Notamacropus eugenii: one gene and its partners. The protein of the gene in region 4 interacts with the protein of the main gene of each other region in a pairwise test. Links are inferred from orthologs where the notes say so. Each region holds a gene or a part of one and is shown on either strand. Other genes may lie near its edges.

What was found.
Region 1: the proteins of SORBS3 (region 4) and PAK2 interact in binary tests that used the Homo sapiens proteins (3 or more experiments, as listed by UniProt). The two-hybrid records come from large-scale screens. The link is inferred for Notamacropus eugenii from reciprocal best matches to the Homo sapiens genes SORBS3 and PAK2.
Region 2: the proteins of SORBS3 (region 4) and TBC1D22B interact in binary tests that used the Homo sapiens proteins (3 or more experiments, as listed by UniProt). The link is inferred for Notamacropus eugenii from reciprocal best matches to the Homo sapiens genes SORBS3 and TBC1D22B.
Region 3: the proteins of SORBS3 (region 4) and KIAA0408 interact in binary tests that used the Homo sapiens proteins (3 or more experiments, as listed by UniProt). The two-hybrid records come from large-scale screens. The link is inferred for Notamacropus eugenii from reciprocal best matches to the Homo sapiens genes SORBS3 and KIAA0408.

The regions. Positions count from the first base shown.
Region 1 is NC_092876.1:335,605,579-335,613,202, forward strand, and holds the start of PAK2 (serine/threonine-protein kinase PAK 2), read right to left. Parts: upstream 3,009-7,624; 5' UTR 2,897-3,008; intron 1-2,896. Other genes in the region: PIGX (phosphatidylinositol-glycan biosynthesis class X protein), read right to left, coding at 7,372-7,515. UniProt on the Homo sapiens protein: Serine/threonine protein kinase that plays a role in a variety of different signaling pathways including cytoskeleton regulation, cell motility, cell cycle progression, apoptosis or proliferation.
Region 2 is NC_092873.1:94,914,868-94,922,782, reverse strand, and holds the start of TBC1D22B (TBC1 domain family member 22B), read right to left. Parts: upstream 3,005-7,915; 5' UTR 2,830-3,004; coding exon 2,774-2,829; intron 1-2,773. UniProt on the Homo sapiens protein: May act as a GTPase-activating protein for Rab family protein(s).
Region 3 is NC_092873.1:211,372,321-211,379,924, reverse strand, and holds the start of KIAA0408 (uncharacterized protein KIAA0408 homolog), read left to right. Parts: upstream 1-4,587; 5' UTR 4,588-4,859; intron 4,860-7,604.
Region 4 is NC_092872.1:612,075,189-612,082,267, reverse strand, and holds the start of SORBS3 (vinexin), read left to right. Parts: upstream 1-4,060; 5' UTR 4,061-4,178; coding exon 4,179-4,214; intron 4,215-7,079. UniProt on the Homo sapiens protein: Vinexin alpha isoform promotes up-regulation of actin stress fiber formation. Vinexin beta isoform plays a role in cell spreading and enhances the activation of JNK/SAPK in response to EGF stimulation by using its third SH3 domain.

The DNA of each region.
Region 1 (7,624 bases), on a different chromosome or scaffold from region 4:
AACATAAAACTATCACAAGACCCATTATTCACACTTGATTATTTTGAAGATAAAGATTCAAAATGCTTGACGGACATCAAGATTCATATGTTCACTGACCCTAAAACTACCTCTTATGATTCCTTTTTTTTCTTTTTCACCTCTAGACTATGAAAGATGAATGCTACAAGGACAGCAGTACTGGTTTGGAGCTAAGTCACCTGAATATATTCCATCTTTTTTATTAGCTTAGAAGTGATCAAATGCCCATCAATGAAAGATCAATGGATTTGAGGGACGCGGCTAAAGAACAGGAAAAGCATGAACTTCTGACACCAAAAGGACCAAAATACTAATGAGATTTCCAGACACCTCAAAATTTTGTGACCTAATATAAATTCAGGAGGAATCAAAAGAAGCATTTTACTAAAATCATTAGATAAATGTTTTACCTAAGCATTTTACTTTAAATTGTGGTTGATGAGTAAATAATAACAGCTAAAGATCTGTGGGAAAATATATCAAATTGTACCTAGGTTCTGATATCTTAAAGTCATGAACTAAAAACTGTGTTTCCTACCAGAATACTTTGTTTAAAAAAAAAAAGCATTTAATGGAAAAGCATGCTACTCTATCAGCCATGTCAATGAGGTATCCTGTCTGCTCAAGCGATAAAACACCTGACGGCAGCTTTCAGTAACTGCAGGCAAAGTACCTAAAAGGAAATATTCTCTGCAAACATTAGAAACATTATAATGCTCCAGAAAAAAAATAATTTCCCAAATAACAGCAATATCACTGAGTAATAAGTTGTCTAGTCACAGGATCCTAGGTCTCAACTAGACAGGAATACCTAGAAAAAAGATAGCATACCACAGCAGAAAAAGCTTCACCAGTCTTGTCGGTCAGAAAGCCTGTGATAGAATACTGATTCTGCTACTTATTAGCTTAATAACCTTAAGCAAGTCACTGGACACCTCTATGGGCCTCTAGTTCCTCATCTGTACAATATAGTCACTGGCCTAAATGACCTTTAAGGTCACTCCCAGCTAGCTATAATTCTGGGTGTGTAATTTCCTGAATGAGAACCAGGGATTGCACATACAACTGTCATAAAAAACAAAGTTTTAAAGAACTCTAAGAGTTCCAACATCTCATACCCTGAGATTATCAGAACTACAATTATCAAACATTTAACCCCATTCTTGGCATGAGGGGTTGTGTTAAGTCTCTAAAAGAAAAAGAAGAGGTTAAGATCTTGGCTATTCATTGTTGCTCACCAACCAATCATGTCACGCACATAGCCTTTGGAACACTTCAATACTAATGCTTTTTTTATTATGTTTGGAAAAGGGACACCATACCATTTGTAGGTTTTCAGCAGTAACAGTGAGAAGACCACACAAAAACACCTGAATTTGGATCACCTCCATGGGTTCAATGTCTAGGTCCACATCAAAAACATAAAAAATCATCTTTGTTGAGGGGCTAGAAACTTATCATCAGTCCTGAGTTTTCCTAAAGCAACTGTCACCTTAAACACTGCCTTAACAAAATGTTCTCTCTGATAGATGCTTTTTCTTCTGATGATTAAAAAAATTTGTCACTTGCTAACCAATAGTGCCAAGTGCACAATTTAAAAAGCCAAAGATAAAAGTGTCACCTTAAACCTATATTCTTAAACGAGATTTTACTCGGTCTTCCTTTTTTCTAAAAAGTTAAGTCTTTGACAAAAGCTACAGAACCTCTGGCAAGGCTGGACAAGTTTTTACTTGCCTCCAAAATTACTGTGCACTTAGTTCATCTAACAAAAGAGATCTTCATCTAGCTTCATTTTAAATTATTCTTATTTTTCTGGACAACCTACAAAAACAAACTCTCAAGAGTAAATTCTTGTAGATTTCAATATCCTGCCTACTTATAAGAGCGGAAGAGTCAAACACAGCAGGGGAAAAAATGTGACGCGTATAGCCTTGATCCAAAACCCAGCTTGTGGGTCTAATTTTAGGCCTAACCATTCTGATTGTGTCCTTTTGCAAAGGAGGCAAAACATGTCTAGATTATTAGATAGAAATCGATGAATCACCATATAGCGGGAAATAAATCTCCTGTTGCATAAAGAGGATATTCTCTCTCACCCCCAATAAAAGGACGACCACAAACTATACTCTAACCAGGAAACTAGAAGTACTTTCCAGACATCAATACTCGGGTCATTCAGTACTTAAAAGACTTGTGCAAAATGATGAATCCACTTAAGAAGTTTTTATTCTAGGAGTGCCCCCCCCCCCAAAAAAAAGAAATTTAAGTAGCTGAAAGCAGCAAGTTCATGCTCAGTAACTTCAAGTTAATTTAAGGTTACCTACAGAAGTCCACAACTCGCCTCCTGGCACAGTGGGATTAAAATGGGAATGATCAGAAATGAGACCTAAGGAGTTGTTGCTACAGAGGTGGGGATGGATTTGTGGACCAGGAGTTTCAGCTGCTGCGGTTTGTGGGAAGGGAGATAGCAGATTGGGGTTAAGGGCTGGGCAGAGATTCAACGGACCCATGTCCAGAGCCCAAAGAGGGAGGACAGGAGGGATCGCTGGGAACTGTCGGGAAGGAGAGAAACTGGCCGGACTCCAAAGGGGCCACGAGGAAAAGAAAAAGACGTGTGAGTGGAAGGGAGAGATAAGTGGAGAGCAGAGGGGCAGAGGCTCGGGGCAGGTCAGGGGCAGGACGACCCCCACTCCCGTCCAACTTCTCGGCCCTCCCGCCCAACTTCTCGGCCCTCCCTTCCCCCAGAAGCAGAGAAGGGGAAGAAGTCTGCCCCGGGGGAGCAAACAATAAGCAGCCACCGCCCCGGGACGCAGGTGGCGGCGGCGGCCGAGCCGGGGTGCCTGGCGCGGGGGAGGGGGCGCCAAGCCTCACTTACCGCGGCCACGGAGAGAAGCGTCCCCGCCCCTGCGAGGCGCCTGGGTCAGCGTCTCCTCCTGCGACCGCCGGGACGCAAGCCCCGCGCGCCCCGCCTGGCTGGCTGGCTGGCTCCGGAGCCGCCCCGGGAGGGCGCGGCAAGGGAGAGCAGGGTAGGGGGGGGACCGGGAGCCGGCCTCGCAACTCGAGGCCCCCTGCCCCGGGACACTACTGCGGTCGCCCTCGCTACTAGGCCGTGCTGCCGCCCCGAGCGCCCCAGTGCAGGCAGGGCAGGGGAGGCAGCCTTGGGCAATGGCGACCGCCGGGGCCTGAGGGGAAGCGGAACAACCGCCGCCGCCGCTGCTGCTGCGCGTGGCCACAACCCTAGAGGAGGGAGGGGGGACGAGGAGAGCTCAGGGGAGGAGGCGTCAACAACTGCAGCGCCCCGCAGGCTGTGCCGAGCGGGAGCCGTCGCCTCTCCTGGGTCAAACCGCGCCCCTCAAACCCGATTGGCCGCCGTCCGCGAAGGGAACAAGAGGCTACTGGGAGTTGTAGTTCCCGGGTGGTTGGTGATTCAGAGCCCAGAGAGGCTGTGCAGTCTTTCATGTAGTGCAATCCCCTGTCTCCTAAAGGGCCTATGCCAATTCTGCTCTATTTGGGGAATTCACCAGATAGTTAGGATATACATAAATCCTATGCACACGTCAATGCTAATTTTTTTTTATTATGCATGAAAAAGGCTTACCATTTCTAGTCTGAGAGTCCTCTGAAGTGATATGCCACCTTCTAAATCCATTTAGGTGTTTACCTACCAAATCTTGATGTCCAAAACACAATGCTTTCTGATAGTAAGCACTAAATAAATTTTTTATTCATTCATTCAAAAAAGTCATTCTACTTAAATGAACTGATGCAAAGTAAAGTGAGCAAAAATAGAACATTGTATACAATAACAGCAACGTTGTAACAATGATCAAAGATGAAAGACTTAAACATTGTAACATAGACAAGGATCCAAGACAGTTCCAAAGGACCCATGATGAAAAATGCTATCCACCCTCCAGAGAAAACTGACAAACTCTGCTGGCATTTTGAAGTATACTTTTTTTTTACTTTACTTTTCTTCCTTTTTGATGTGTTTTCTTTTGCAACATGTCTAATAGGAAAATGTTTTGTATTTTGCATTTGTGGGAAAGAGGGAGAAAATTTGAAACTCAATTTTTTTTTTAAATTAATGTTGATTTTGTTTTTACATGTAACTGGGAAAGTGTGCATGTGTGTGTGTGTATTTTAAGTCATTCCTGAACCCAGGCCTCAGTTTCCCCATGATGTATATAATCAATATTTTATTGCATTGCAGTACAATGGAAGGTTTTTTGGTTGCTTAGTGGTATCCAACTCTTTGTAACCCCATTTGAGGTTTTCTTGGCAAAAATACTAGAATGGTTTGCCCAGGTATATACAGCCAGTGTCATAATGCTTCCTGACTTCAGACCCGGTACTCTATACATTTTACCACCTAGTTGCCCCACAAAAAGGAAGCAGGAGACCTCCAAAAACAAACCACCTACTTCAAAATTTGGATCCACCTTCCCTCATCCGAAGTCAAGTATAATGATCACTTAACTGTCCTCACCCTATTCCTTATTCTGCCTGAAGCAGCAAAATGAAATGAGCGGAAGAATGTCAGGATGCAGTGAACTAGGCCTGTGGTATACTTGAATGCTTTTCAGAGACAGATCCAGGATGTACAGACAAAAGATTTGTGGCATTCAGTTTTGTAGAAGTAACATGATAAGGTAGAAAGAACAAACTGGGAGAATCAATGGTAAACTGGAATTATGTCTTGGTCTTGCCTTTAATACTATCTACGTGATATTGTGCAAGTCACTGTCTCCACCTCGATTTCCTTATCTGTCCAATAAAGAAAGGGGAAATAGATTTATCTATCAAGCCCACCCAACTGGTAACATTCTGTAACTATATAACTTGAAAATATGACCTCAGAGAAATCACTTCCCATCTTATTATACTTTCCACATCTGTAAAATGAGGTATAATAGCTGGACTAGGTAATCTTTAAAATTCCTTGCAGTTCCATGAGTTGATTCTTCCTGTAAAATCATTTTAGGAGACACTGTACTTCAAGAAGCAAGCACTCTAGAAAGCCACAAAATTGCATAGCAACTTTGAGGTTTGGTAAATTTTTAACAGTTAAACCTAGCCCTTTAATGCTAAATCTCTTTAAAAAATCAAAGGTACCCATAAGAAAAAAATAACAGATCAAAAAATGTAATTGGCCCATAGAAATTTTGCCTTTTCAATTATCAAATCAAAGAATGAAGCCCCAACTCATCTCTGCACTGGAGTGAAAAAAAATACTGATTAAGCACTTACTATGTGCCAGGCATTGGGCTTAGGACTGTGTGTATTACAAGCAAGCAAGTCCTACCCTTAAGAAACTGACAATGCAATTGAGGGGGGGGGGAAAGGGAGAGAGGGAGGGAGAGAGAGGGAGGAAGGGGGCGGGAGAGAGAGAGAGATGGAAGTATATATCTATCTACTTATCATCTATCTATCTTTGAGCTAGAAACTGGGATGGGAGGATGTTCCAGAAGTGGTCTGGAAATGATGTGGTAGCCTGATTCTGGGCAAGATAAGGTCCTGGGTCCAACTATAAAGCCTCTGAGAAAGATAAACCCTCTTTGAAGGTATTTATCTTTGGAAAACAGTAGAAAGCCATATTTTAGGATGGCTTCTACAATACCCCAGCTGCTTCTTTTTTGTGATAAATGCTGCTACATAACCTATATTACTATACTATGTTCTTCATACAATAAAATATTTACTGATATTAACAGGATTTTTTACTGAGTCAGTATCTAAACTGAGAATGACGAAACAGCAAGCCAGAGACAAAGTGCCAACAATCAAGCAGCAGTTTAATTAATTAGTTTCATTGTGAGAAACAGATTTGCAAATTGGGAATTCTCCTGATCTTACATGTTTATGTATATACCACACACATATATCACATTGTATTTACTCTACCAAAAAGCATAGTTATAATATATCCTGACTGAAAAATCTAGGAAGACTTATATGAATTGATATAAAGTGAAGTGAGTAGAACCAGGGGAACACTATACACAGAAACAGCAATATTGTAATGGTGATCAACTGTTAAAGATTTGGGTATTCTGATCAAGACAATGATTCCAAATCCCAAGACAATCCCAAACAATTCATGATGAAAAATGGTATCCACCCCCAGAGAGAGAACTGATGAACTCTGAATGCCAACTGAAGCATACTTTTTTTACTTTATTTTTTTGGGGGAGGTTTTGTGTCTTCTTTAGCAACACAGCCAATATGGAAATATGTTTTGTGTGATTTACATGTATCATAGATACAATATTGCTTACCTTCTCAAGGGGTGGGTGAGGGGCAGGAGGAAGGGAGAGAATTTGGAACTCAAAATTTTTAAAAATGAATGTTAAAACAATTTTTTCAAGTAATTGGGAAATATTTAACACAATAGATAAAAATATATTTTTAAAAAATAATATGCTCTGATTTATTGGTTAGCAGCACATTTACTTCAGGGTTATTTTGAGGTTCGCCTACTGTTATTCTTACTTCCTATTTTTTTTAACCAAATAAAGCAGGGACTAGGCCTCCATTTTTAAAAATCAATGTATAATAATCTTATTATGAGACATACAAGGTTTCATAGAAGATCTTCTTTAATGAGCAGACTGAGCTGTGTTCCCTCACACTTCTCTTATACTAAAGCTTATTAAGTAACTTCATTATTTTTCCTTCCCCACCATTAACAGATGTATATAAATCCAGAAGCAATATAATAAAAGAGAAATAGGATGCCACTGAGTATGGTAAGTTTTGCTATTAGCAATAACAGTCTCTGGTGTTAATTTTGCTTCTCCCTAAACCATTGGATGTTTTCTAATGTTTTTCAAAAAAATTAATTGTCAATCAAATGTCTGATTAGAAATACTGTGCCCTCATCTGTAATGCTTTCTCTGATTTCTATTAACATCTGTTAGTTAATAATATCAAAAAATATAAGAAATTCATTTCTCTGAAAATAGAACTCATTTTTCTCTTCTAATTCAATTAACACATATTACACTAAGAGCAAAGAGCTACCTCAGGCTGTGAGGCAAATACAAAGATAAATAAGACATGATTCTTTACACTCAAAGGGCTTACAATCTTGTAACTGACCCTATTCTTTGAAAAATAATTTATCCATTTAACAGAATTAAATTGTTTATATTGGCACTTGATACTTGAGAAATTACCAAGCACAAATGCAGCATAAATTTCTGTATTAAGTAAAAATTAGGTGAAATTATTTACAAAACACCATTCTACATTTTTTATTTAACTGTTCTCAACAAAACTAAAATACATTACTGTCAATTAAAAGGAATGCCATAATTCTAGAATACTACCAACTATTACATTACATTCTCACAGGGAGAAATGACCATGTTTGAAGATGGCTCTGAGTATAAGACCAGAACATAAGATTGTAACAAGCAGAGTTATGACACATACGAAAAGACAATGTACTCGCAGCCCCACTGGAACCTGTAGTATCACATTCTGATTTACCTACGGAGAGAGGGTAGACAAGTTCAATTTAAGATTAGAGGAACACTCTAAATGCACATTCAAAAGAGAGCTTACATTTACTCAGTTTGGTGGATTTATTGTGGGGGAG
Region 2 (7,915 bases), on a different chromosome or scaffold from region 4:
AAGTTCAGTTCAGAAATCAAACTCATTCAATAAAAATAAGAAAGTACCATCTTCCTGAGCATCAAACTAAGTCTCAGTGACACATTAGTAAACCAAGGGGTCTTATCAAGAAGGTATAGAAGAAAAAAAATTTTTCATTCTTTAATGATTTTTGTTGGGGGGTGGCTGTATCTGAGGAAATACTTTATTAAATAAGACTTCCATTTTTTGGCACAAAGTTTTCTGGATCTGCTTTCAAAGGAACTAAAAGCAATCAGTCATTGCTTTATTTTCTCCATGTCAGCTTAAAGAATACTAAATTAGTTTTACTTCTAAGTTCTTCAACACATGTATAGCTTTCTCAGTTCTGTTGCACACAACAGAAGTTTTTCTTTAGTGTGAAAGAGGAAAAAGTTCTACGATCAGGAAGTTGTTAAAAATTTGGGTCCAAGTCAAAGCATCATTTAAGATCTTTTGTTATTTCTAAAATATGGTCCCTGGCCCAGAAATAAATCCAGATCTAAATCTGTTTAAGAAAAAGAACAAAGTACTAACAAAAATCACCAATTACCTAACACACCAAACGCATAATGGATCAAGGATTAACGCTAAGTTCCTCTATAACCAGCAGGGGTAAAGACCCAGTTATAAGGTTCACTTGTCCTGAATTTTAAAAGAATATGAAATGGTTTGGTTTGGAGGAAGGCCACAGAGCACAATAAAAAAACTCTCCTATCACCCTTCACTAAAGTATAGGGTTTCAAAAGATTACATCTTCCCCTTAATTGTTTTATAAGACAACATTAGAAATACCTAAAATAGACAGAAGTAGTGGCTGTAGCCCCCATCTTCTACACACACCCCTTTTTCAATTTAGATTCTCCAAAGAATTCCCCAAAGTTACTCATGTCATATTCCCAGGCTTCCAGGGCAGACAATATATAATGATCTCATCATGGAAAACCCCGTGAACAGCTTTTAATAGAGGTGGAGACCCCAATGAATCAGGAAGGAAAATGGAACAGTTGGGGAGGAAATGGCCTGTTAAAACCTCTCAAATATGAATTCAAAATAATATAATTAACATTAAGTTGATTTTGAAGCTGATTTTTACTCTATCCCCCTCTCCACCTTCATGTGGGTCTTAGTAGGGTAATGAATAAAACATAATAACTATATAACTTTCCCTAACCTTCACTTCTTTCATTTTTTTCTCTTAGGAAGTCACAACCATCCCATTTTTTTCTGGGGGTGGGGGAAGAAACAAGCAAAGGAAACCAACGAACAGAAAGAAAAGAGTCAGAAACATTGAAAACGACAATTTATGTGGCACCACTAGAGCTGGCCCTGTCTGCAACTGCCTTCTGTTCACTCAAGAAGCACCAGCTTCTTAAGATATCTCTGAGGAGGTTTTCTATCCTTCTTTCATCCTGCAAACCACATGTAAGGGAATGGATGTGCGGATGCCAAGGCATATTTATGATGCAACAAACATGAAAAAAGCAGTCATGTTAGCTAATTACATGAAGCATTTGGGGAGACTTCTATATACTTGCACAAGGACAGGATCATAGGAGAGTGTCTATGGATGTTAGCTATTAGAAACTTTGAGAGAGATAAAGACAGAGGGAGGGAAGGGGGAGAGAGAGGAAGAAAGAGAAGAAGAGAGAGGGAAAGAGGGAGAAAAAGAGAGGGAGATAGAATACAGAGTGAGGGAGAGAGGGAGAAAGAGATTGGGAGAGAGAAGGAGAGAGGTAGAGGGAGAAAGAGGAGAGAGAAGGGGGGAGAGAGAGAGAGAGACAAAGAGAGACAGAAAGAGACAGAGGGACAGAAAGAGAGAGAGGGAGAGAGAGAGATGGTTGAAGGGAGAGAAGGGAAGAAAGGAGGAAGGGATGGAGGAAAGAAAGAAAGATATTAAGAAAAAGAAAGAAAGAATTAAATGAGATAAATCCTCCAGACAAACGTACACTCTCCACATCCCCTTATAATACTCCTAATGAGGCTGGCTAACAGCCTTCCCCTTCTCTACCCTCTGCCCCAAGCCCAGGCACACACAAGCTGGGTGACCCTGGGAACGTCACCTAACACCTCAGCGTCCCAAGAAACTCTACGACTGCGAAGTCCTAAGAGCAAAGGGAGTTCCCCACAGGTATGAGGTTACGGGTCCACAAAGACAAGGGGCATCAAGGACCCCTCCAGGCTCCCCTTCCCCAACACGGGGGGCCACGAGCAGGGCTGGGGGAAGCAGCACCTGCAGGCACCTAGCGAGCAGATAATTAACAAGTGCTCGTTGGCCGCCGGACAGAAGGGGACGGCCTGCATTTGGGGGGCTCGAGAGGGGCCCGTGCTCGCGCACCCTCCCCGCCGTGCACCCCGAGGCTCGGAAGGAGAGGGCCTCTCTCGATCCGGCCCGGGGAGCCCCCTCCCCTAGTATCTGCTCCGGAGAGCAGCAGCCTGGCAGCAGCAGCGCAGACGGCAACGACGGCGGCCACGCAGCCCGGGCGCTCCTCGGGGCTGTGCCACCCCGGGGAAGTGGCTGCCCGTCTCGGTGCCTCAGGTTCTGCATCCCAGTGGGGGCGGCAGCTCCACGGGGCTGTGGTGTAGACGGACCTCCGGCCGACAGGACGCTGATCCTCAGCACGGCCCCCCCAGCTCCCCGGGGGGTCCTGTACGCACCTCCCAGGCGCCGGCAGCCCCCACTCCCCGCTAGGAGCAGCGCACACACGCGGGGCTGGGGCTCGGGTGGATCCCGGCCCCGGCCGTCCAGGACTCCCTCCCTCGCTAGCTCGCTCACCTCCCCGGCAGCTTAGCGCTCCTCTTCCAAAACTGCTTGCTGTTGTCTCCGGCCATGGCTCGGGCCCGGGGAGCGGGCTGTAGGCGGGGCCGGGGAGGGGGGGGAGCCGGAGAGACGCCCCCAGGACCCCGCCACCCGAGGGCCGCGCAAGGCCGCTTCCCTCCTGCTGCCGCCGCCGCCGCTGCCACAGCCGCCGGTCACCCGCTCCCACCTCCCGGGGGCGCCATGTTGGATGTGGGCGCCCCCCCTCCTCCTCACGACGCCGCGCCGCTGCCATTGGTCGACGGCGGGGGCCGTCGCCACGCAAGCCAATGAGGAGCGTGCGTCGTGTGGGCCGCCGAAGTCGAGAGTTACGTCAGGGGTCGGGCATACTTACAGGTGGGCAGCGGGGGAGGAGTCCTAGAGGATGGAGGGGCGGGACTTAGAAGCGCCAATCACCGGGAAGAGCTGGAGTAGGTAAAGAAACCTACACCTTGGTGAGAGAAAGAAGACACTTTTTTATTGAGTTGGGTCTCTTAGGACTCCGAGTTGACTTTTTTCTTTTCTTTTTCTTGTCCTCTTCTCTCCTCTCCTCTTTTTTTCTCTCTCTTCCTTTTCCCTTTCTTTTCCTTTTTCTTTCCTTTTTTTTTTTTGAGGGGGGTGTTGGCTGAGAGAGGGTCAAGGGAGGACCAGATGAGAAGTAGGAAAAGAACTCTTCTTCTAAAAGTTAGAAACTCGTGATGAAAAAATGTTATTCACCTCCAGAGAGAGAACTGATGAACTCAGTGCACACTGAAGGAAATTTTCTTACTTTTTTTTCTATATGGCTAATATGGAAATATTTTGCATGATTTCACAAATATAATGGATATCATTTGTTTGCCTAAGTGGGTGGGAGAGTGGTGGGAGGGAGAGAAAGAATTTGGAACTCAAAATTTAAAAAGAAAATTTCAAAAATAAATAAAAAATATTTTTAAAAATGAAATAAAAGTTAGGAAGTTAGTATTCCAATGTCCTAGCTCTCATCACCAGCTAATTGTCACTGCTCTATACACACAGTGAAAAACTTTCTCCTTCTGAACCACAACTTCCTTACCCACAAAGCAAAGAAAATGCCTTTGACTCAGGGCTACCACTTCTGCAACAAAAGAGCGGTTAGTTGATGAGAATCCCATTAAGCACTTAGAGAACTGGTGAGGTGTACCACATAAAAGAAGTAATCTTTGTCCCATGGAAGTTCACATACTAGATAGTCCACGTTCTTTCTATTACTTTGGGGAGGCAACCTGGTTTAGCGGATAGGGAGCTGGGGCCCCAAGCAAAAAGATTTAGGTTCAAGTCTCACTTCTGACACTACTGACTATATAGTGTTATAGTCACTGCTGCAGGCTGTTATCTAAAGTTGTAAAACTGTAGAAAAGACACTGACCTTTATTGGTAGAGGAAGGTCCCTATTCATTCAACCAACATACATTAAGCTTCTACCATATAGACAAGAATTACACAGGTTGAATGACCTACTATCAGTGTACAGAAAGATAATGTTGATATTGAATCATATTATGGAAAGAGCCCTCTCTAGGAAAGGCGAAAACCATGAACAGTTGACTATAATAGACAGTATTATGTAAGTGTACTGGAAATAGATAAAAGTGTTTTTTCAATAACGAGAGGGAAAGTCATTACCTCTTGATGACAACCCAGATGTTGGCACATCTGTATAATGGTGTAAGAAGTTGCATAGTGATTTCAGTCAAGAATTCATTGAAAACAGAGTGCCAAAAACTATTTTGTGGGAGGGCATGATTGCTCTCCATGGATTCAGTCACTAAAGTTAGAGAAGTACCCTCCAAAAATCGTTGTATTTAGAAAAACCTCCCTGACTCCATTTCTATTTTCAAACTGTACTATCTATTGGGATGAGTTTCTCATGCTTACTACTCAGGCATGACTTTCTTTCAAACTAACTTTTGTACCTTTCTTTAAGATACTTTTGTCCCATGACCTCAGTATTGAGATTTGAGATAGAGATCACTCAACTCATGCTTTTATAGACTTTGATCATGTCCTCTTACCTCTTCCCCGCATACTCCCACCAGATCTCTTATATTCCTGAGCTGTTATACTCAAACAGAAGCTGCTGCATCTATCCCTTTGATCATTGTTAACAGATATTTTCTAATTATGTCTCTCATGAAATGTTGTGATCAGAGCTGTACACAATATTCCATATATGGATATACCATGGTTTTGTGCAGGGTATAAAAAAATCTCTGGGCTAAGAGAACTTAGTTAACCTTATTCATAACAACAAAGTAGACCAAAAAGAGAATTCCTCTTGAAATGGGCCTGGGTATGCTTCTCATTTATTTCTTTCATTATCTCCACCAGGTAGTATCTAGAAAACTTTAGTATCTGATACTCCCTTAAGGGCAACCATCAGGGCAATCTTTACAACCATCAGGTTCACTGGGTTTCAAAACACAGAACAGTTCTATATATGGGGAACATAGAAAGACATTACATCCAAACTCAAAAGAATCAAACCCCCTCCCCCCACCTCATCACTACCTATCATCCAACCTTGCCTCCCAGGAACCTGTACAGTCCTTATGACTTACAATACTACCTTGAATGGTGCTCCAGAAAGTAGGAATGCCTCTGGATCTGTGTCCACACTTTGGTGTTCTGTTCCTGCCACCTTTTTTACCACTGATGTTCTCCAGTACTTGCTGTCTCACCATCCTCTCTTTTAATCTGCTTACTGGCTGTTGATATTTGCTACTTCCATAATCTTTAGCTCTTCAGTCTGTAAAGTAATTGCATTAGAGGAGCCTTAGTTGCCTGTATAACAGGCAACTATTTCTCTCCTCTGGGGCCAGAATGTCTCTAGGCTACTTATACCTTCTGTTGTTTTTAACACCTTAGTCTCAGGAGTCTCAGAGCACTACTCGGTACACTAAGGGCTCTTACACTATTTTGTGTCATGGACCCCTTTGGCAATCTGAAACTTACCAACAACCTTCTTAGAACAATGCTTTAAAATTAATTTAAATATATATATATATATATATATATATATATGATTACAAAGGCAGCCAATTATATCAAAATATAATTTTTTTAATTTAAAAAGTAGTTCTAAATCACTATTAATCAGAGAAATGCACATATAAACAACTCTGAGGTAACATCTCACACCTACCAGACTGGCTAACATGACAAAGGAGGAAAATGTTGAGGGGATATGGGAAAACTGGGACTCTAATGCATTGCTAATAGAGTTGTGAACTGATCCAACCATTCTGGGAAGCAATTTGGAATTATGCCCAAAGGGTTATAAAACTGTGCACTAGTAGGTCTATATTCCAAAGACGTGAAAACCTTTGTACAAAAATATTTATAGCAGCTCCTTTTTTTTTTTTTTTGAAATCGAGAGGATATCCATCAATTGGGGAATGGCTAAATAAGCTGTAGCATATGATTATAATGGAATATTAATTATGTTTTAAGAAATGAATGACAAGCAGGATTATTTCAGAAACACCTGGAAAGACTTACATGCACTGATACAAAGTGAGCAGAACCAGGAGAATGTTACACACAATAATCATAATATTGTACAACAAAGAGCTATGAATGACTTAGCTCTTCTCAGCAATACAATAGCCCAAGACAATCCACTAATGATGAAGCATATTCTCCACTTCCAAAGAAAAAACTGATACTGTCTGAATACAGACTGAAGCATGCTATTTTTCTCTTCTTTCTTTCCTTCTTTTTTTTATTTATCTTTTTATATAAAATGACTAATATGGACATGTTTTACATGATTGCACATGTATAAACTATATCAGATTGCTTACCACCTCAGGGAAGAATGAGGGGAGGGATAGAGGAAGGGAGGGATAGAATTTCAAACTCAAAACTCTAAAAAAAATTTAAAAATTGTTTTAATATGTATTTGGGGAAAATTTTATATTTTTTAAAATAAATGTTAGCAGGTTATCCTGAAAAAGAAAAAAGTCCCAGATTAAGAACCCCTACTGTAACTCAAAGCACTTAGGTATCCATTAAATTCTCCCATTTCTTTCCATTGTCCACTTTGAATCAGTTCACAATGAATCTCTTCCTTTTATCTCTTCCCTTCCCCAGTACCTGAGTTGTGTGTCTTCTGTTCAATTAGCACCTTCCATTTATTATCAGTGGGATTCAGAGGGTACTGGGAATCCCTTTGCATTTGCGAACCAGTTCTTTCCAGCAAAGGCAGTAAGGAAGAAAAAAGAATTTGAAGGTCCTTGCTGGAATGGGATAAAGATTTCTATTTATTTCTGATTACTTTCCTGATAATGTTGAGAGTTTTGTTGGGGCAACAATACGTTGAGTAGTGAAGTCTTTACAGCTGACATTCCACAACTGTAGCCATATACACTTCCCTAAGGAGACAATGCAAGTATACATCACTATCAGATATTTGGAGCTAAGATCAATTATCCATTTATCTAAATTTCAATATCTTTCAGCGTTGCTTTCAAATGACATTGTTGTGATCACTTATTTATTGTTTTCTAATTTATACTTTCATTGCTCCATATCAGTTCATTCAAGTCTTCTGTTTCCTGGAATTTCTCATATTCATTGTTCCTTATGTACAATAATATTCCATTACATTTGTGGAGCACAGTTTGTTTAACCATTTCCCAGTTGGTAGGTACCCACTAGGTTTTCGCTGTCCTCAAAAGTGCTGTTATTAATATTCTGGTCTCTCTATAAGGGATCTTTCTTTTGGTCTTTGACTTCCCTGAATATGATGGGGTCCAACAATGGGATGTCATGATCAAAGGGTGTAAAGAATTTAGTTATTTTTAGTTTTAGTTATTTTTCTTCAAATCAATAATTTGATTCCAAATTATTTTCTAGAATGGTTGGACTGAAGTTGCTAAATTTTATTATTTCTGAATCTACAACATCTCTCCTACATCCCCCTTATCTCAACTCTCACAGCCACTACCCTGATTTAGGCCTTCATAACCCTATTTTTTAAAGGACTCCTTTTTAAAATTATACTTTAAGTGAACAATCTCCCACTGCCTCTCTTCCCTTTCTCCCCATTGAGGAATCAAGAAAAACAGAATTTCTTTTACAAACATGTATAGTCAAGCA
Region 3 (7,604 bases), on a different chromosome or scaffold from region 4:
TTTTTCCTGAAAGGATTTAAAGATACACCGAGAAACTATTTGCCTCATGAGTCTTGTCACTTCAACTGGCTCCTTTTTTGCTCTTCATGTGTAAATGGTAGCACAAGGACCATAACATATATAAGGAGGGATTTTCCAGTAGCAAGGGTTGTTAAACATTGGAGTGAGCAGGTAATAGACACTGTGGAATCTATTTCTTTAGAGATTTTTTAAAATAGAACTAACTGTCATCTGTCTGGGATGGTTTAGATATGACCTTGCTCATGGCATCCTAGAGCTGGACTAGCGGACCTGTCAAGATCCAATCAGAGCCACTGATGCTATCTAAACATAGTTGCTGAGTCTCTTGCCTTGACACAAAGCACCTATGTTAATTATTCATTGAAACTTGTTTTAAAAGGGAAAAGGAAAGAATTCCTCCTTGAGGTTTACTGTTATGAATCACCTCTTATGCAACATAACCAAAGCTGGAAGGATTTAGAAAACAACCTTTATTAAGTTTGATATACAAATAATACAGCAAACCCCAGAGGCCAAGTGTGAGTGAACATAATGTTATCAGTTACCTTGGTTTAAATTGCCCTCAATTTAATTCAATTCAATAAAGAATTATTAGCCTAATAGATAACGTTTGCATGTTGTGTTCCCTGTTAGGCTGTGAGCTCTTTTAGATCAAGGACTGTTTTTTGTTTTGTTTAGTTTTGCCTGGCTTTGAACTTCCAGGGCTTAACACAGTATCTAGAACATAACAGGTGATCAATAGATGTTAATTGTCTGGCTGATTGTATAAAACCTTCTGCTAGGTATTGAAGATACAAAGATAAAGATGACATAATCCTTGCTGTCAAAATCAAACTGTCTAGTAGGGGATATCAAATGAAATATTTTGTCAAATAAGATAATATATAAAGTGCTTTGCCAACTTTAAAATACTGTATAAATGCTAGCTGTTTTTTATTAGATACAGAAAAAATAATATAATACTATTTAGAAAAAGATTCCATTCTTAAGAGATATGAATCATGGTACCATTAGAGATTTGGGGAGGGATTTTGTCTTTTAACTGGTGAAATTTGAGAAACATTCATAGAGAACTTGGTACCTAAGTTGGATCTCAAAAGACAAAAAGGATTTCAATCAGTGTTATCTTGGGGAGGAGGGTCCTATCCAAGTGTGTGAAAATTTATGAAAGCTCAAGAAAAATTAATGATTAACAAGAAGTTGGCTTAGGCCAGAGTGCAGGCTGTGTGGAATAGAGGACCATAAAATATCTGCAAGGATAGTCCAGAGCCAGATTGTGGACAGCTTTGAAGGCCAATTTGAGTTTTTATTTTATTCAGCAACCAATAGAAAACAACTGATGATTTTTTAAGCTAGGGAATGGAGTGAGCAAGTCAATGAATTAAGAAGACTACCATGGTAGCCGTGGGAAGGATGGCTTGAAAAAGAGATTGGAGGTAAGAAAGCCAGTTAGGAGAATCATTGTAGATATTCAGAAAGTATTGAGATGGGTAAAAAGGGGGAAATATGTCAAAGGTAGAAATCAGAGGGCTTGACAATGGATTGGACGTGCATGTGGATTAGTCAAAACTGATGGTTAGGTTTTAGATCTGGGTGGTGAGCAGAATGGTGATGTCATCACCAGAAATAGAAATGTTAAAGGAAAAAATGGTATCCAGAAACAATGAGTTCATTTTGGGACATATTTTAGGATTTACATGGGGATGTCCAGTAGACAATTGGAAATGGAGATTGGAACTCAGGACAAAAAGTGGAACTAGCAACAGAAATTTTAGAAGAGTCCTTTACATAGGTGAGCATTAAATTTATGATAGTGGATGAGATAACTGAGGGTAGGAGAGAAGAGAAGACCAAGGGCAGAGCACTGAACAGTAGGCATGTTCACTAGTGATTATATACCTCCAATATCTTCTTGCTGTCTACATAAAGTCTTTCCCACCACGACCTCTATTCCAGTTATTTCTCGTGGAAGTAATGCTCATCTATAAACAGACAAAACCATGGAGATTACTGGAGATGTATCTTTTTACAGGACTCTTTTAACTTCTGTTACAGGAAATGTATCAAAAACAGGGCCAACGAAGACTTAGATTCTTATAGCTTAATCTTTAAGCATCAATAGAATTTTCTTCCTCATTTCTGGGTAACCAGTTAAAAAAGGTACTTTCTTTGGCCCAATCTACATGAGTGGGAACAAATAAAACTACAAAAAATCATAGATTTAGAGCTGAAAGCACTTTAGAGGTCATCCAATCCAATCCTCCCATTTTATAGAAGAAATTAAGGCCCAGGGAAGTAAGAGTGGATTGCTTAAGTCTGCCTTGATCTAAACCCAAAGTCTTTTCAATCCAGATCCACCACGCTATACTGTTGTTGTGTTTATTGTTAGATAAGACCAACCCTGGGATTTCGGTGATATTCCAGTGCAGGTCGGTACTTTTTCTGCAACTGATTATCTTAAAAGGTTGTATAGAGCACTAAGAAGATAAATGACTTGCATAGGTCATACGGTCAATATGTATAAGAGGTAGAGCTTGAACATAGGTGGTAGCGGTAGTAGTAGTTGTCATTACCATAGTAATAGCAGCAGCAGCAGCAGCAGCAGTAGTAGTAGTGGTAGTAGTAGTAGTAGTGGTAGTGATAGTAGCAGTAGTAGCAGCAGCAGCAGTAACAACAGTCACAATAATAATACTTTACCAGTATTCTCTTTGGTACATTTACTTAACAGAAGGCATCACATATTTATAACCAAAAGATGAGAACTCTAGTGACCCTTCCAAACATAGACCAATTACATACATATATCTACGATATAAAAAGCATTCACAGCTTTTATTACTCAAATCTATTAATGCATACATACACACACACGTAACTATGTATAACTATGTGTGTGTGTGTGTGTGTGTGTGTGTGTAGAGAGACAGAGAGAGAGAGACAACAGAGAGAGAGACAACAGAGAGAGACAGAGACAGAGAGAAAGGAGCAAAAGTGTTGTGCCAAAAAAATCTTAGGAAGGTAAAGGGCACCTAATGGTAACAATAGTAAAATCAATAGTAACTATATTCACGTAGTACTTTACATATAGTCTAGTTCATCTGATCCTTACAACCCTAACACATCAGAGTTCTTATTATACAAGTGTTACAGATTATGAAACTGATTTGCCCAAGGGCATGCAGCTATCTGAAGAGGAATTCAAAACTATTTCCTTCTGAATCCAAGTCCAGCATTCTGTAAGTACATCAATACTGCCCACTGCTGGCACTTAAAAAATATTTGCAATCACTTGTATGCTTTCTACACTGTGTCTTATGCTGCTTACGTTCTGGTCTCAGTTGACAAGATATGTAAAGTTTGCTTTATTGACAAATTTGAGCTAGAAATCTGCTGAAGAGTTTATCAAAATGGAGCAAACATTTAACAGGGTCAATCTTATTATGACAGTAAGGAATGCATTTTTTTGCTGTTCAATCATGTCCAACTCTTCATGACCCCATTTAGGATTTTCTTGGCAAAGATACTGGAATGGTTTGCCATTTCCTTCTCCAGCTCATTTTACAGATGAGGAAACTGAGGCAAACAGGGTTAAGTGAATTGCCCAGGGTCACACAGCTAGTAAGTGTCTGAGGCTGGATTGGAACCCATGAAGATGAGTCTTCCTGACTCCAGGACTGCACTGTAATACACTGTGCCACCTAGCAGCCCTTCTTGCTGCATTGCTCCTTCACACAATACAGACATGGACAGAAAGAGCTATAAATGCTTCAAGAGGCAGCTTGGTGTATTAGAGAGTGCACAAGACTTGGAGTTAGGAAAACCTAAATTCAAATTCCACCGTAGACTTTTCTGAGCTGTATGACTTGGTACAGGTGACAATTTCTATGAACCTCAGTCTCTTGACATGAAACCTCACAGAATTATGGTAAGGATTAACTATGATAATATAGGTAAAGTGTTTTGTAAACCTTAAAGCAGTATATAGTAGTAGCATTAAAAAAAAAAAGAATTACTAGCTTGGAGAATGGCATAGGGAAGTATGAAGAGAAACATGTCGTATATCATCTGAGAAGAAACATATTTTCCAAGTGGTACTTCATATAAAAAAATTAGAAATGGCTAGGTTTTTAATCCTAGAGTATGAGCACTGTAGAGTTGGAAAGAACAATATGCCCCTTCTCTCCCCTTTCCCCCCACCCCACATACCCTGCCTTTGAAATCCACCAAGTAAGTAGAGAATGCCTGATTTGGTGTACCAGAACCTAGCCACACAACTTCAGGAGACATTGACATATATACATTGAGATTGCATGTAGTTAAAAAAAAAATCAAGATCTTGAAAACAAGAGTTAAATTTCCCTAACAAAAAGGATCTAAAATGGGCCATTGTCATCCGTTTGATATTAACATCAGTTCTTTTGGCGTGCTTGAAAATGCTGGGCTACACTATAAAGCTAAAAATGTCCTGGACCTAAAGTTGTTTACACAAAATATGAACAGATCTAAAGTTACAGAGCTGGGGTTGGAAGAGGTGTCTCTAAGGCCATCCTCCCCATAACTGACGTCACACCAGTCCCAGCTGCTGGTCTGACGCTGAGCTGAACTGTTGTTTTGTTTTTTTTTCACTCTGTAAAAGTAGTGAAGAATTCAAAGAGCCTTTAGTGTTGCTGTGCTGAATTGTTGTTCCCGCTTTGGTGTCTCCTAAAGGAGTGAAATTCACAGAGCTGGAAATTTTTTTTTTTCCTGTTCTCATAGCTATACATTCCACTTGTTTTTCACTGCTAGATTTACCAATGGACTGACAGAACTTTCAAAGGATTTCCTCCCTGCAAAAAAAGGTATGTTTTATTTCTGGAAACCTAAAAGTGAGCATCTAATTGTTATAAACTAGAGAGGGAATGCTATGTTTTAAAACTTGAAACTGCTGGAGTCCAGGATTATTTAAACATCTGTCTCTGCTTGAAAACAATGAGGTATGTAGTAACGGTTTGCACTGAGTTCCAAGGGAAAAAACCCTTCAGCTACTTAGACAGTGTCTTTAGACTTTGATTTTTTTTTCCAGTGAGAAAATGCTAACAATGCCATCAAGTAGTCTGGCTTCTTTTGTTTGACACTGTTTTCAGAAAGGAGCTTTAGGGAGGTTTAATTTTTCTAAATGTACAGTTCACAAAATGTTCAGCCTTAAGATTTTAGAGGTAAATAAAGTCACTTTCATCCAAGCTTATCATTGTTATTGAACATTAAGTATATTTATCAAATTATCAAACCTGTTATCCATAACAGGCTAATGTCTTGAAAAAAGGGGGGGGGGGATCATTATCCTCTGACATAAAGGCAAATTAATTTTAGATACTTGCATTTTTATGTCAAACATTTATTTTAAAATCAATTATTTTATTATTTTTTATTGAAAGAGAGGCAGTATTATGTTATATCTGGAGAAATGGACTTTCAGTCAGAAAACCTGTGTTCAAGTCTTGCCTCTGATACATACTAGCTCTGTGACCCTGTGCAAAGCCTTCCAAGGTCCAGAAAGCTCTTTAAGTTTTAAATTGCAGAAAAGATGTTTATATATGCATGGGTAGAATACTTAGTAGAGGAGAGAGTCCTTTTGAGAGAGCCAGGTTACTGTTAAAGTGTGCATCTAACTTGATAATGCTTAATAGATTCAAGTTCAATAAATTTAAATAAACCTACCCTAAATAAACTTTAGGGCAGCTAGGTGGCACAGTGGATATAGCACCAAACCGGGAGTCAGGAAGACCTGAGTCCAAATCCAACCTCAGACACTTACTAGCTGTGTGACCCTGGGGAAGTAATTGAACTGTATTTGCCTCAGTTTCCTCATCTGTAAAATCAGCAAGATAAGAAAATGACAAACCATTCCAGTATCTTTGCCAAGAAAACTCCAAAGGGGGTCACAAAGAGTTGAATATGACTGAAATGAGTGAAAAACAACAAAAACCCAAGAGTTATGAAGGGTGAAAAGGCAGTAGTAGTTTAAAGAGGAGGCAAAGTAAGGATGGAGCATCCCTTTAATTAGAAGGCATGGTTTTGGCTAGTAATAGCAATGAAAATAATGTCCTGTGGTAACACTAATTGGCTCATGTCATCCTGGTCTGGAAAGTTATCAGAAATGGCTTCCTGAGGTGAAGGATTCTGACTTATCATGTAGAACTGTACAAGATCTCAGACAATATCTACTTCAAGTCCCTCATTTTACACATAAGAGATCTAAGGCCCATGGAGGTTATGTTACTTGCCTAGGGACATACAGACATAGATTTTCAGCTATTCTAATCCAAACTCTTAATTTTTGCATATGAGAAAACTTAGTAAGCATCAGAGGTAGGATTTGGACCTAAGCCTTCTAAAACCAGAGTCAGTCTTCTTTCCATTATAGCCTCTTTTTATCTTGGTATCCCCAGAACCTCACTCAGTACCTATAAGCAGGTACTTATCATAGAATCAAGGGCAGCTAGATGGCACAGTGGATAGAGTACCTGATCAGGAGTCAGGAGTCATCTTCATGAGTTCAAATCCAGCCTCAGACACCTACTAATTGTGTGACCATGGACAGTTAAGCTTGTTTGCCTCAGTTACCTTATCTGTAAAAAGTGAGCTGGAGAAGAAAATGGCAAACCACTCCAGTATCTTTGCCAGGAAAATCTCAAATGGAGTCACAGAGAGTTGGAGGTGACTGAAAAATAACTCAGTAAACAGAATCATAGGTTGTAGAGCTGCAAGGAGCCTCAAAAGCCATCGAGTCCAACCACATCATTTTTACAGGTGAACAAACTGAAATCAGTGATGTTGCCCACAATCAGTCAGGTTGCTGACAGAACTGAGATTTGAACCCAGAACCTCTGACTCCAGACATTTCCACTGCTGTGCTACCTTTCTTATTATTGGTTAATTGTCTTCAAGCACATGTTCCCTCACAGTTAGAGCTATAAGAGAAAATTAGGTGTAATAGAATTACTCGGTTTTCCTGTTACTTTCTTATGGTTTTCACCAGATCATTTTGATCCAATCTCCAGATCTGAAGGGAGTGGAATGGGACAGTTAAAACAGCACAGAGAATATTCCTTAGAAATCTTCCTCTTCTCCCACACAGATACCAAAGTCTGTAGGAGAGGAGGCAACAGAGAAGTCTGTAGGAGCTGGGAACAGAATGGACTTTTATAATTGCTTCAGTATCATTAGTAAAAAGTGACTACAGTCAAGGGTCACATATTTTTTTAATATGCTTCCTATTATGACATCTCACTGTTTTCTTGCTGAGCTCTCTTCATCTAAAAAATGTTTTTAGTTTGATAATATTTATATCTGCTTTATAACAAAACAGTAATTATTACAGCCCAATGTTGTATAGGTATTGTCTATGTTAATTTAAAGTAAGAGGGAGCTTACCTCTAAATATTTATTCTGTACTCTCTACCACTGTTGAGAGAAAATGAGTAAGAATGGAAGAGCTTATGCACAACTGGGCTTTTCGGAAAACAGGCAATTAAGTAAAGGCCAGAATGAAAAACTGTATTTCAAAAAAGCGAATTATTATCTCAAGTTATTGCCTTTACCTT
Region 4 (7,079 bases):
TGTCAGTATGAACAACCTCCCCTGCTCATGGCCACAGATTCATTGCCATGGCAATCTCTTGGCTGAGCCATCTCCTGCCATTAGAGAGGCAATGTGGTCTAGTAGAAAGCTCTCTGGACTTGGGAGTTGGGAATGCTTGAGTTTAGACCCTATCTCTGATGCTTATTAGCTGTGAAAGCAGATTCTGAGCCTCAAAGCACTCATCCATAAAATGCTTGTAGCCCCTGTCACCAAATCACCCTCAAGGCTCCCTTGTTAGAGCCTACCTCTGACACATACCGGCAGCATGTCATAGTGGGCTCCTCAGACAGCTGACTTTTAAGTTACTGACCAGTTGCTGATGTTTGATGTTTATCATGGAGGGGGAGCATCCCTCCCTCTACATTCTCTCTCTCCCTCCCCCTCTCCCTCCCTCCCCCTCTCCCTCTCCTTCCCTCCCTTCCCCCCCCTCTCTCTATCCCTCCCCTTCTCCCTTCCTTGGGGCAAAATATCTACCTGACAGGTTCCTGAGGCTTCAGTGACGTATGGTGTATGTAAAGTGATTTGCTAACCTTCAAGTGCTGTTATGTAAATGCCACCTATTATAATAGGTGTAGAGGACGGATAGATTTCTATTTACACACGTTATATAACATGCAAAAGAAAAGAAAAGACAGCAAAGGAGGTGGGATAGCTTTTGAGGGCTTGAAGCAAAAAACACCTGTGGCTGCTGCATCAAGTAGCTGGGAAAAGAAGAGCAAGCTGTTGTAGTGCTGGGCAGCTGGAACAGCAGTAGCAAGCTCCCCAAAAACAAATAGAATCCCTACCCCCATCCCTCCCCTGGAGGGGAGGGGAGAGAAAGAGTGAATGCCTGATGAAGTGAGCCAGAACAATCACAGCTGAGACCGGACGGAGGAGCTGAGAAACCTGAGGCCTGGGGTTTCCAGATGGAAGAGTTTATCCTGTCCTCTCCAAAAAGATAGAAATCTGTAGGTTTCTCCTGCTTCATACTCTGGGAAGCTCTGAGTATTTCCCTCACTCCCTTGACCTCTCTGTGAGGCAGTATGGGTGATAGAGAGGGCATCCTTTCCAGCGGCTGCAGCCAGGCAGCCGGCCTGGTTAGAGGTTACAGGAGAAAAGAAGGAAAAAAAACCAGGAAGAGAAAGTGATGGTGCCCAAATGCACACATGACGTGCTTTGTTTTGCCTGCTTCGTGTCATTTAATAAACCCAGTTGAGCTTGGGGCCTTGAATTGGCAGGCCAAAGTTCATTTACATAGGAATCAAGAAGTCAGAAGAGGGTGGGTCCATTTAGCCCCTCTTCCACAATTTACACCCCCCTCCCCACTTACCTCCCCCCAGTCTGTTTACTCAAGTGCCTATTCCCACAGTGATGAATGAGACTGGTAGACCATCCTCAAGCTCCATGACCCTCCCTCATGACAAACAGGAAGTCAGGACATTAGTCAGCTCAGCCACAACCTCTGTGTTAAATATTTGTCTTGGAGTCTAGGCTAGAGCCCTGGAGAATAAGGGGACTCTGCTGCTGGCAAGTAGTGTTCTGGTCAGGATCACAGGCAATCAAGGATGTCCAGTGCCAGCCCTGGAGAGCAAGTAAGGAGAAGGCAACAGATCCCTGTGCAGGCCTGGGAGCCTTTTTGGCTGGTTTCCCCTGGGTGGGGATAATGTTTAGGGCAGAGGGAGTGAATGAAGGCAGTATCTTCAAAGGCAGGGAGATCGGGGTGGATGTTCCCAAGGAAGGGTTAAGTCCCAGGCCTCTTTAAAAAAAGATCATTGCTTAGTCCTTGTTAGTTCCTCTTTTCAACGAATCCTCACACAATGCCCACCCACTCCATCCCCTAACTTTTCATTGCGAAGAAGAAAAGGAGTGCTCTAAACCCCCCACACACTTCTGATTAAGTTACAACAGGGAAACCAAGTTAGAGATACCAGTCACCACTGTTCATGTTCATGTTCTTTGGGAATGGATCCCCATTCCTGCTTATCCCTTTCATAAAATATCTCATGTTGGAGGAACAAAGGGCCTTAGAGAAGTTTTACTCTCTCAGTGCACTGTGACCTAAAGAAGGAGGAAGGACCTACCATAGGTTGGGCTCCTAGGCCTACTCTGTGGCTGCTAACCTCAGGGTTGAGGGAGCTGCCCAGAGTTCTTCAGGCTGGGATGCCCTCCTCCGGAGTCCTGAAGCCTACCTCCTGATCATTCGTGGTATGAACAGGGCAAGTGCTATATTTGGTACAACGAGTGGGTCAGTGTTATAGTTCTTGTTTTATAGGGAAAGAAACAGGCCTGGCAAAGAATGGAGCCCAGGTCTCCTAGTTCCCAGTTCCAAACTCTTTGCACTGTACTGTGTATGTCATCCCATGAAACTTGGCAATCCCATTTCTTTCAGAAGCTGGATTGGTGCCTGTGTCCCTTGGAACAGAGGGGACATGGAGGAGGGTATGGGTTGTAGGAGTGGCCTGTTTTCTGAGCTCCCCTTGGGATTAGAGCTATTTCTAAGGTGCAGAGAACAGTGTGAGGGTTCCAACTGGGACTTAATGTCTCTGGAACATGTTCCCCTGGGATGGTCAAAGTCAACCTGGTTGCCTGAGCTCAGCTTACAAACAAGTTCTCTTTTCTTCCTTTCCCCAGGCCAAAAGCTCTTTAAATACTCCCTGCCAAGATCCAGAGATGGAGCATCACTGTGCTTGTTCCTGCCACTCCTCCAGCATCCCTGTTTCCTCCCATTCTCTCAACAGCTATGGTCAGGGGGATCCTTCTCCATTCCTTTCTGTCCCTAAGCTTCATCTGACTATTTAGAAGACCAAACAGAACCAGAGTCATGGATGAAGGCAGGAGGGATACTAATGAAAAATGGTAGCAGCAGCACAGGTTAAGAGGGAGTGGAATGAGTCTAGGGAGTCAATGGGCGTAGGTTCTTAGGAGCAGAGCCAGGAGCAACAGGAACATCGGAAAGACAACAAGATCAAAACGTGTTGTCCGCTGCCTGGGAACATGCGGACCACCCCACTACCGTCAGGGGTGGGCCTCCACCCTCATCCGCCCTCCCAGGCTGGCTTACCCCAGCCCCTCCCCTGTACCATTTCCTTAAGAGAAAATCCTTCCAGCCCAGGGCAGCCTTCCTCCATGTGTTCCCGCTCTATTGGCCCATTGCATGCGTATGTATATGTGTAAACGTACGTCTGCCAAGTCCTTGTTTCTCCACGGCTGTGTATATGTGTATAAATTTCACTATTCACACCTCTTTTATACCTCTAATTGTGCTGCAGCCGTGCCCTGTTTGTGTCAGTCTCTTTGCTTCACTGTCTCTTATTTCTGTCTCTGGGGCTCTCAGTTTCTATCCCTGTGTCTCACTGCGACTGTCCGTCTTATTCATCATTCCTGCACTAAAGGCGGGCTCCAGGACCAGAGGAGCACACCCCACACACCCATTCTGGAAATGTTGCTGGAAACTCTGAGTAGCCCCACTCTGGTGCCAAAGGCTCCACAGGGCACAGAAGGAAAGCTGCTGGGAAAGGTTCTTGTGGTCCCCTGGGACCCCCAGGACTCCTCCTCCTCTAAACACGCCCCACCCTGATCACTGGGTGATCTCCCTGCCTCTCCTCTGCCTCGGTCCCACCCTTGAAATGAGAGCAGCTCTCCCTTCCCCAGGAGATGGGCACTTGCTTGCCTATAGCCTCCTGACCAAATTACACCCCCCCTTCCAGTTTTCCCCCACCCCAACCCCCACAACACACATAAACACACAACATGAGGAGGGAGGGGAAAAAGCTACAGACAAAAAGTATGACTTTTCCCTACACCCCACCCTGCTGCAAACAGGCCAGAGATTGGAAACTCTCTGCTTGGTTCCCTCCCTTCTTTCTCTCTTCCCTCCCTTCCTCCCTCTCTCCAGCTTGCAGACTCCCTGCTGATTTGACTCTTTCTCTTTGTTATCTCTCTGTCCTCTCTATCTCACACCCACACTCCAGTTCCCCATTTTCTCTGTGACTCTGACTCTGTCTCACTGCCTCTCCTTCCTCCCCTCCCACCCACCCACCCACCCTATAAGAGTCTTATTCTGCCCCAGTCACGAGGGAGAGAGAACACACCCCAGACTTCTCCCCTTCCTGGCAGCCTCCCCAGAGGCCCACAGCTGTGGGCTCAAGGTGGAGGCTGGAGGGAATGCTTTCTCCCTCATGGACTCTCCATCCTCTCCACCAGTTCTTCTGCAGGTAGGTGCCAAAGAGGAGGAGGAGGGGGCAAAGGAGGAGAGGCTGAGGTCAGGGAGGGGAGGGATCAAGGAGGGAAGAACAGCCAATCCCTCGAACCAGACAAAGGGAAGGCAGACTGGCTCCTCCCTCTGGAGTCCACAGAAAAGCAGCTGGGCCCTCTTCCTATGCTCAGGGAAACTGAGGTACAGAGAAAAGAAATTGGGAAGAGGACTGGGGTCATCTTGCTCCTAGCACCTTGCTGTTCAAAGAAAATATAAGCTTACCTGGGAAGCCTTTTCTTGTCTTCTTGGGGGGAAATGGGGAAGAGAGAAGGAGCTGAGATTAACCACCACCACCCCATTTATTTTCCCATGTATTGTCCTGGACAAGGACAAAAAACCTCCAAGTAGTACTACATTGATTGCTGTAGTCCCAGAGTCAAGCCTTTAAATTAAAGAGGACTTGCCAAAAGGACTGGAGAATTCTGTCAAGCTCACAGGAAGTAGACAGAGTGCTGATCTGGGAGTCAGACCTGGTTTACTTCTGATCCCATCCCTGCATCATCTGGTGGGATGGATGTAGATCAAGGCCCTTTGCTTCCATTTCTCCCTAAATGAAGTACCTCTCCCTCTCTGTTCCCACTTTACCCCTACCTCTAACTCCTAGGGATACTGGTGGTCAAGAATGTAGAGGCCTGAATGGGCAAAGTGTATGTAAATTCTTATTGCTTTAAGGGACTGGGGTAACTGGGCCCATTCTCCCCATTAGGGAGAATGAGGTAGGATGGGAAAGGAAACATTGAGAACATTGTTTTAGGGGGAAAGGGAATATTGGAAAACAGACACAGTCTTTGCCTCCTGAAAACAGCCTAGTGATCAGGACTAGGGGTGGGGACTAAACTTGGAACTCCCAGATAAGAAATTCCTTCTCCTAGTGCATATTCCCACTTTCTCTCTGAGTCATAGAGAGAACTGTGGGGTTAAGTGACTAGCTTTGGGTCACACGTACAGTAGAGTCAGGATGGGAACCTTCCTAACTCCAAGGCCTTCTCTGCCACACTGGAAAACAAAGGAATTGTCCAGCCTGCTTGAAGGGAAATTATCCACTCTGAATTCCTCCTAGAGGTCAAGGAAGTCAGAGAACGTCAAGAGAAAGGAGAATCCAGGGTCAATTGATGATGATGATGATATAACTCAGAGCACTGAGAAGTTAAGGCCTGATACTTCCAGGCTGTCAGCCCTCAGCCAAGCTCTCCTTAGTCATGCCTCAGTGTCCCCCTGCATAATGTTTAGAAAAGAAAGAATTGGAGAAAGCTTTGATGTGAGTTGATCTGCTGATGTGGCATTGCCCTTAGTCCTAATTGAATCCAGCTGGTGAATGCCTTCACTTCCCACTCCTCCCCACCCCCAACAGTCTAATGGGCACAAAAAAGCAACAGGCAAGCTCCTGCTCCAAGCCCCAGCAAGTATAAGTGGCTCACAATAGGGGGCCTGCTTCCCTGACCTTCCTGATTTCTGGGACTTCATTACAAGTGAACAAGAGAGTGACAAGTTCCCCATCCCATGCCCCCCCAGTGCACTGCTCATGTGAAATCCCCACTCTGGCCATGGGCATGCATCTTCCCAGCATACAGGACTCCCTCTTTTCCTCCTTTTGCGAATGCTGCCCTTTGTGAGTGTGGAAGCCACCCACAAATGACTTGGACTCAACTCAGGAGGTGCCAGTGTGACGCAGGCAAGTCCTGTGACTCTAGCTGGGGTGGGGTAGGGTGGAAGGAAGTCCCATGTCAACCCATGATTTCAGCCTACACTTTGTATTTAAATTTTCAAGAAGAGTCCAGGTCTCATGTCGCCATCACCCAGCACAGGGACCACCTTCCCTTCATCTTCCACCTGCTTCCTCCCTTTCCCCCAGCCTCCTCCTCCCCCTCTCCAAGTCTTCCACCTTCTCCTGCTGCCTACCCCTATGGGGGCTTTCTCCTCACAGAGCTGATCACCTCTTCTACACCCACTGCTGATTTCCAGAGATAAGCCATTCTCTACTATGGCCTCATTCTGTGGATCAGCAAGAACAGGTCTGGAAGACAGACAGATAGACAAAAAGGGACAGAGACACAAACCTAAACACAGAGACAGAGCAAAGAAGAAGAAACAGAGACAAGAAAAAGAGACAAATACAGGAAGGAAAGCAGAGGGAAAGACTTGTAGAAATGAGTAAGGAGAAAAATAGAAAGGTTAAGAAAGCAGAAGGAAAGCAGAGAAGATGAGACAGACCAAGGGAGAGATAAACGTACATATAGAAACAGGGAGAGAGACCAAGGGAGAGAGAAATATACAGATAGAGAGAAACAGTCAGAGATAGAGACAGAGAGAGACCAAGGGAAAGATAAACATGCAGAGAGAAACAGTGAGAGAGAGAAAGAGAGAGAGCATCCAGAGCCCAAGATTTGAAGGCAGGCCAGTCCCCATTGGCATTCTGAACTCCCCAGAGTCCCTGGGAAGGAAAGCTGAAATAGAAAAGGCTATGACCATTTCATGCTTAACTCCTGACTCAGGGAAGATGATTTCTACCCCTCACCCAAGAGGCACTGCTTGGTCTTGGTACTAAGGGGAGGGACCCTGCCTGTTCTCACTTGGGGCATATAGCCAAGCTAGACTAGTTTCTCTCCTTCCTTCCTTTGTTGCTGTGCCCAACAGCTGTTTCCATTTCTCTTTTCAGGGTTAGGAAGTCATAAAGTGCTTTGAGATCCCCATGGGGTATGCCTGGATGATTGGATGACCCAGGCATTTCCCATCCTCCCCTGCTTCTTGCCATCCCTCTTCTCTCTTACCCTTTCCCTCACCCTGGTCCTCCACACCCCCCCTTCCCCCCACCCCTGCAGTTCCT